Linked DNA regions of Xenopus tropicalis. The protein of the gene in region 1 interacts with the protein of each later gene in a pairwise test. Links are inferred from orthologs where the notes say so. Each region holds a gene or a part of one and is shown on either strand. Other genes may lie near its edges.

What was found.
Region 2: the proteins of fam114a1 (region 1) and rab2b interact in binary tests that used the Homo sapiens proteins (3 or more experiments, as listed by UniProt). The two-hybrid records come from large-scale screens. The link is inferred for Xenopus tropicalis from reciprocal best matches to the Homo sapiens genes FAM114A1 and RAB2B.

What each region holds. Positions count from the first base shown.
Region 1 is NC_030677.2:35,807,816-35,812,105, reverse strand, and holds the start of fam114a1 (protein NOXP20), read right to left. Parts: upstream 2,815-4,290; 5' UTR 2,715-2,814; intron 1-2,714. UniProt on the Homo sapiens protein: May play a role in neuronal cell development.
Region 2 is NC_030677.2:141,992,629-141,996,723, reverse strand, and holds the start of rab2b (ras-related protein Rab-2B), read right to left. Parts: upstream 2,807-4,095; 5' UTR 2,734-2,806; coding exon 2,688-2,733; intron 1-2,687. Other genes in the region: tox4 (TOX high mobility group box family member 4), read left to right, coding at 3,349-3,356. UniProt on the Homo sapiens protein: The small GTPases Rab are key regulators of intracellular membrane trafficking, from the formation of transport vesicles to their fusion with membranes. Rabs cycle between active GTP-bound and inactive GDP-bound states.

The DNA of each region.
Region 1 (4,290 bases):
AGGCTTGTCTCCACCCTCATTCCTCAGTTCTTTGTCCTGCCTCGGAGGTGAAGGACTGATTCTATATTCACATATTTTTATTTTCTTTTCTTTTCCTTCCTTTTTTCTTTATTTTTTATTATTGTCGATCAAAAAGAGGATATCACAAGGCACGGCTGTCTTACTGGATTCAATTCCAGGACTAGACCAGCTTACTACAAGGGGGACTCAGAAGATCCACAGGAGGATCTCTAAAGCACTAGGGTACGCAGAGCTGCCCACAAAGTGCGGATTACTGTGCAGTGTTGGGGACACTGGACACGCAGAGCTGTCCCTGAAGTGTCACCCCTCCCCCCCCAGCACACGGGAGAGCAAAGAAGGAAGGAACACCTTCCTTATCAACAAGCGACTGAGGACACAAACTTGTGTCTCCAGGTTCTAACACAACACGGCTGGCTGATCAATCACCGAAAAACTTCCCTCACGCCAAGTCAGACGATCCTATTCCTGGGCCTCATTTTCGACTCCAGGGCACAGAGGGTAATAATCCTACCCCAAGACAAGATCGAACACATTAGTCACGACAACTCAGGCCTTCTGGGTCAGGAAAAGGAACTTGGCAGAGGACTGCCTACGCCTTCTGGGCCTCATGGTATCAACCCTGGAGGCCATACCCTTCACCAGATTTCACCTCAGACCTCTACAGTGAAATTTCCTGCAGCATTGGAACAGGAACCACCAAGATCTACAGCAGGAGATACCTATCTCGCAGACGACCAAGGACAGCCTTCTCTGGTGGGTGAGAGATGACAATCTTCGACAGGGAAGGAGCTGGGCAAACACCACCTGAGAGGTAGTGACCACAAACGCCAGCCTCAGGGGCTGGGGGGCAGTACACAAAAACCTTAGACTCCAGGGGACATGGTCCAAGGAGGAGAGTCACTTACCCATCAACGTGTTAGAGCTTCGAGCAATTGCCCTAGAACTGGAGAACTGGTCAACAATTCTACAATCTCGGTCAATCCGAGTACAGCCTGACAATGCAACTGCAGTAGCATATATCAACAAACAAGGGGGCACTCACAGCAAACTAGCCATGCAGGAGGCCTCCAGAATAGTGACCTGGGCGGAACAGATGGTACCGAACATCTCAGCAGTATACATACCAGGGGTACTGAATTGGGAAGCGGACTACCTGAGCAGAACAACCATCGACCAGGGAGAATGGTCCCTCAACAAGGATGTATTCCAATAACTAACTCACAGGTGGGGGACCCCTGAGATAGATATGTTGGCATCAAAACACAATGCAAAGCTTCCACTCTATTGCGCCAGAACAAGGGACCCAGGAGCAGCGCTGGTGGATGTGCTGGTGGTACCATGGAACTTCAGCATGGTATACGCGTTTCCACCACTAGCCATCTTACCCAGAGTAATCAGGAGACTGAAGCAATCCAACACAGTCACAATACTGATAGCCCCAGACTGGCCGAACAGAGTATGGTATACAGTTGTTGTCAAATTATCGATTGCCACACCTTGGAGATTACCTCTACTACCCGATCTGTAAACTCAAGGGCCAATAAAACATCCCAACCTGAGGATGCTTCGCCTAACTGCGTGGCTCTTGAAACCGATTGGTGGCGTCAACAGGGATTTTCACAGATCGCCATAGACATCTTCTTACAAGCCCGCAAGCAATCTACCACTAGGGTATACCATAGGGTCTGGAGGACTTTCTTAACCTGGTGCAGGAAAAGGGCCACGCCTTGGAGAGATATCTCCACAGTTGAGGTGGTGGAATTTCTAACGGACGGCTTCCAAAAGGGATTGGGCTTACGCACTCTAAAAACACAAGCTTAGGCGATTACAGCGCTGACACACTTCAAGTGGGCCGAAGATCCTATGGTCCAACAGTTCATCAGAGGGGTAACCAGAGTACGACCCCCCGCTAAGGGAACCCCTTGCAACATGGAGCTTACCATTAGTCCTAGCCGCACTCCAACAATCACCCTTTGAACCCCTGTCGATGTGTGAGCTTAAGTGGCTCTCATTTAAAGTCACTTTCTTAATAACGATCACATCAGCAAAACGGGTATCCGAGATGGCGGCACTGTCCTGCAGGGAACCACGACAAGGCGGTCCTTAGAACCACACCAATATTTTTACCAAAGGTGGTGACCGAACGCCACATGAACCAAGACATCATACTGCCTTCCTTCTGCCCGAGCCCATCCAACGAGAAGGAAAAACTACTCCATAAGCTGGATGTTGTCCAGGCTATCCGCATTTACCTAAAGAGATCGGCTGACTACAGACAGTCTGATAGTCTCCTGATATCATATGCAACGGCATACAGAGGAAAAGCCGTATCTAAAAGAACTATAGCTCGTTGGCTAGTTGAGACTATTAATATGGCTTATGATCGCAGAAACATGCCCAGACCATACTCAGTGAAAGCCCACTCTACACTGGCACTGCAGAACATGGCAACCGCAGACCAGATCTGCCGAGCAGCCACTTGGGTTTCACCAAACACCTTCATCAAGTTCTACAAGTTAAATGTTTATGCCTCACAGCCGGCCACGTTTGGTCGGAAAGTCCTACAGGCTGTTTTGGCATAGTGCCAATAAAACTGAAGTTTTACCCACCCAACTAGAGGGACAGCTTTGGGACATCCCCTAATGTCTGCACTGACAGGAGGGCTGCTAGAGAAAAGCAGATTTTGTACTCACCGGAAAATCCTTTTTTAGTAGGCCCGAACTGTCAGTGCAGTAAGTCCCACCCAGGCTGATTTAGTATGGGCACCGGGACCTCTTTCTCGCTATCTTTCTACCTTATGTCTCTTAGCCTTCCTTCTATCTGTACTGTCTCCACCGACCGAGCTTACCAACAGAACTGAGGAATGAGGGTGGAGACGAGCCTTATATACAGTGGGAGGGACCAGGAGTACCAAGTTTCAATTCTCTGTCCTGCCTCCAGAGGTGATTCAAGACAAAACCCCTAACTTCTAACAGTTCGGGCCTATGAGAAAAGGATTTTCCGGTGAGTACAAAATCTCTTTTTTGAAGACAATCAAAAAGTATATGTTTTAATAAAAAATAAACAGAAAGTTAGTGTTACACATTTTTCAAAGTCCTTACCTAAACATTAAATAATTTTTTCATACATCCTATTATCTAGAATGTCCTTCAACTTATTTCTAAACATTATAGAAAACTGATTTTATACTTGATCCCAGTCTTTTACAACAACAAGAGAAAAAGAAGGTATATAATGAGATTCTCACTGTCATTTAACTCTCTGAACTCCCTGTCTACAAGTACATCTATCGTAAATTAGAAGATGGAGGTTCTCATTATCACTCTTTAATGATACTCATTCCAGGGGGTGTGTAAAATACAATTTGCCTTTTTGAATTTGAAAACTTTTTTTAATTAAAAGATTAGGCAGAATGCATTTTTACTACAACTTATATTTATTTGACTCTATATTGCTAAATTAACTATCTACTTTAAACAGCCAGAAAGAAGTGTCAACATATAGTATATGAGCCCTTCTGCCACCCTAGCTTTGCATTCCTTGTTGAAAATACAAACTCAGAAAAATCTGAAAAGAAAAATGAATGCTCAGATGAAAAGATTACTGGTAAACTCAGAAATGTAGCTGCAAATGAAAAGCAGAACTGAACCTTTGAGGCCAGTTAGGTGGCAGACAAGACATAACTGGAAATGTTTTTCTTCTTCCTAATTGCATTCTCTTAGATTAGAACCAACCACAAACTTTTACACTGCTAATTTTAACAGCTTTCAATGAAGAAAGACTGTTTTGTGTGACCTGTGAGAACTGGACTGTATTGTAATAACTTACTTACGATATTTTAATTATGACATTTACTGTTATCAACTGAATGATGAACTGTAAGGCACCCCAAGAATGCATGTTTGTGTTGCTCTCCAAATTTATTTTACATTTGAATATGGCTCACAGATTAAAAAGTTTGGGGACCCCTGGTCTAAGGTAAGCGATTATAATCAATGGGGGTGCCTAATTTTTATCTTGCAGTAATCTTGCTGTGTTTTTCTCAAAGTCGTTTTGCTAGTCATCCAACTGGCATTCTGCTAGTTGGATGACTAGACAGCAAGTCTAGTTAACTTGACTTATTACTACAAGTTATAGCATGACCTGGAAGAATAATAAACTTCACAGGCATAGTGCCTAATGTTCTATCTCCTTTAATTATACAAGGATGCAGCCAGTCCCCAGAAAGGTCTGGCTGGCAGTGAAACGTACCACAGCTAATAAAAAAGA
Region 2 (4,095 bases), about 110 Mb from region 1:
AGCAAAATTGTATTGTACCGATATGTGCTCAACGGGTCGAAACCAGAGGAAATGCACTTCGTGCATTATAACATTTTATATATGTACACATTACACAAACAGTTAGCAAGCAAACATTGTTCTATACCCTGAAAAGATGATGCCTCCTTCCATATCAAACAATAAATGACCTCAAAGAGGTGCCTACTGTGCATGCATTATTGATTTAAACTGAAGCAGGCGCAGTGAGCATGCCCAGTATAGGTCTGCATAATCTGCTAAAGAAGGAGTGCTCAATAAGGGAAAGGGGGCAGAGTTTTATGCAAGACAAGGCAGTCGGTAAAGGGATACAGTTCAGCTGCTTGTAATAGAGCAACAAAATAAATCTGCATGCAGAGCGAAAGGTATGTTATTCTGGGGGCTGTAATTTTAGAGGCTATGACATAAAGCTACTTGTCACAGCTACAAATCACCAGAAAATACCCTGCCATAGACAATACTGAAAATTTTCTCTGCTAAAACACACGTAGAGACAATTATCAGTATTGCCTATATTGTAGCCACGCCAAATAGCTGGCTAAAAGTAGCTCTGTGGGTCACTGCCCTAACAGAGTGTGACACTGAGCTGTATCCAGTTTGGATTTACCACCCAACTGGCATTCAGCAAAATAAATATATCTGCAAACAAATTACTATTATTATTTTACTTTGGGTGGTAATAGATTAGAACTATAGTTTTCTCCACTTCTAATTACCTGCTAGCAGGTAGCATTCACTCATCTGCTGTTGTAAAGCAAACATCTATACCTGCAGGAAACATTGTACCTGCTATTACATTAACCTCTTTAGTCTTCAGCTACAGTGTATCACCTGGCAGGCATGAAGTTGTGGTTGTTCTCAGAATTAATAGCTGCATGAAGCTGCTGTTTCAGTTACTTCTAATATGGCTGCATTGAGGAGGCCTTCTAAGGATTTACTCCAGCTGAGAGGCCAGCTCACAGATATTGAGTTCCTGTTTGCCTTGCTGCTTTTACCTAGCTGCCTGAAGGTTCAATACACCACTATAAAACTGACTGGTTAATAAGCACACAGAAAATCAAACTTTCCAGTTTAGTATTTCACCTAACTCTCTCCCTACTAACCATATTCCTCAACTTTAGATTAGGAAAACATTTCTAACAACCCCATTTGCCCACCAACCAAAACTAACGCCCCTGCTTATTGCACTTCACCTTAGTAACACACGTTACAAACCCCTTTATTGTCTTATGCACAGCCTATTTAATTAAAATGTCATACTTTCTTCCTATAAAAAAAATTAATTTCACAGAACCATCATGGAGGCTTATAGTCCCTGGTACAATATCTGTATCTCTCCTTGTATCTCAGGCCACTGGTTCCCTCAGTCTTTACCAGGTTTTTAATAGCATCATCACTCCCTTTGTCTGAAATTTACCTTGGCTTTTGTGCACTGTTTTTATTTTTTGGAGGGGTGGAAGATTTCCTAAACACTTGAAAATCACTGCAGCTATCACATTCATCTATGTACTTATTTGATTGCATGCAAATATGTAATAAGGGTAGATATGGGGGAATAGCAAAGAGATATAAAAATCAGATATGCTAAAAGCATCATTTTTTTACTTTTCTGCAGTACCATGCACTAGGTTATTATACAGTAAGGAGGCCTTAGTCTGCTACACCACAGATTAAGGAGAACCTGGAGATACTACTATACATGCACATAGCGTAAAATAATTTCATTGCCACTTATAAAAACTAAAGACAGTGATTAAAGAGAAAATCCACAAAACTGTTTTTACAAAATGAAAGGAGTTGTAATTCCAAGCATTACCTCAACCTATATGGATTAAAAGATTACATTTGCAAATAACATCAAAACCAGTGAAATCACTACTGAAGGCAATATGTGTTTATCCTTTTCTGTTCTCTGATTCTTATTCCTGCAACCATGTAGCAGAGGTGAGTTCCCCTCCAGGGGTGTTAATCAGCTGGCTTCTGCAATCAGGCCAGCAAGGCAGAAAGAGTTGGATAATACTGCTTTCATAAGCTACTATTTAAAACCATACAAAAAAAGTATTCTATGTTTATTGAAAAGCTGCATTGCATTTTCTGTCTTTATTCAAAACAAAAACAGTTTTTTTTCGAGTTCACCTTTAAATTATTATTTAGCCAACCTATCATGTGTTACTCTGTTTCTATAAAGTTAAACTGTAGGAAATACGGCTCTTAATGTAATAAAATGCATTGTATTGCATTATCACTAACATGAAATATGTGCACTCTTTCTGATTATTCATGGAGAAAATATGGGGCTCTGGCAACTCAGCTTTAAAACTACCCATCACTGTTATAAGTGATACACAAATTGCAATGTGCCTCTATAATATTTAATGATGTGGCTCCTAACATTACCTGTATAAATACAAAGATATATACATATACACAAATCTGTAATTGCATACAAATTTGAAAAACATCTGCAAAACAGAACACCAAGAGCTGCTATTTAAAAATAATATATTATTGTACATAAACTCGGAATATTCTCATTTTATGCTAGCATATGCATGATTTTATATTTAATACACAAAATAAAATTAAAAAGCATCAAGGTTACAAGAGCATAATAATAGCACCCAATATTCGTAAACCGATAGATAAAATCATTTAAAATACGTACGCACCTGTATCACCAATAATGATATACTTGAAGAGGTAGGCATACGACATGATGGCAATCGTCAGAGCCACCAAGGCAGGTGATTACGGGGAGGAGGCTTCCTTTGAACTGCCTTACTCTAACTAGAGCTCCCAGAGAGACGTTCTTGCCACGCAGTCTCATCTCTATTGCTTCCGGAAAAGACTCTCTATCTGGTGTACGGCTTGTAGCGACGTTCTTTACTAAGCCGGATGTTCGCTCTTTTGTATTCGATACGTGTAGCATTCTAATGAATAGTCTCTATGGCTGCCTCACATCCTATTGTTATACTATAGGAGGAATGAGTAGCAGCATTACTGTACCAATATGGCTTCGCTGCTTTTACCGGAAGCGGATGTCTCGCCATCTTTGTAGAGGCGGGGAAGTGTGCTTGAAAAGAAGAAGAGTCTCAGGCCGTGAAAATGGAGGTGAGTTGGGTAAATTACGTATTTTATTGTGTTAGTTTCGGTTTTAACGCGGTATACAGCTAGTTTGATTCCGTATGCGTGTTGGTGGTGATTTTCAAAACGCAGATTATGTGGGCCATTAGAGCAGGTTAATGAAGTGGCGAGAAGGGAACTATAGTTCCTGCGGATCAAACACAGAAAACGTGTAGCATTTAAAGATCGTACAATGTAGTTGTTATTATGTCGCGGTGCGTCAAGTATCTCTAATCCCCTGGTGCCAATACTTATAGTTTCTTCAGAACGTGTTGTGTTGGGGGTTTCGTTTCAGTGGTAACAGGTTCCTGTCAATTGAATATTTATATTGGCTATGGGGTTGTGGATAAGTAATGTGTTTCTTTGAGAGTGATGTGCCTGATAGAAGACTTGCATTCCTTGTACTGTGAATTGAAATTACTATTATTATTTGTATCTGTGGTGAAACAGCTTGTTTACTGCCAGCATTAACATGGAAGCTTCTATTTGTTATTGTCTGTGTCACTAATAGTAAAATGTTATAGAGATGAATGCTGTTATTCAGAAGCCAGAGAAGGGTCATTTGTGGTTTATTTACTTTTATATGGCAAGATGCTGTAATAGATCAGTTACATGTTCTTTCTTCACTCACTGGACAGTGGTTGTTTGAGTTTCTTAGTTCATGCATGAGATCTAACTTGGCCAGAGCGCCCCTTAGTTCATAATAAGGTTACAGATACATGAAAGCAAAGGAGCCCCCCCCCTCTGCAGCAGCAGCCTCAGAAGTGTTTGCATAATTAGCAGCAATGTTTCTGTGATTAATAAAATATTGCTTTTATATAATTATTGAATGCTGTAACAGTTGTCATTGTAACTTGTTTTAATAGGAGGCAGTGCAGCATTTTATTTCACAGGAAAATTCTTTGGTCTTTTCATACAAGCAGAGTGCTAACCATTGATCAGAGCAAAAATATA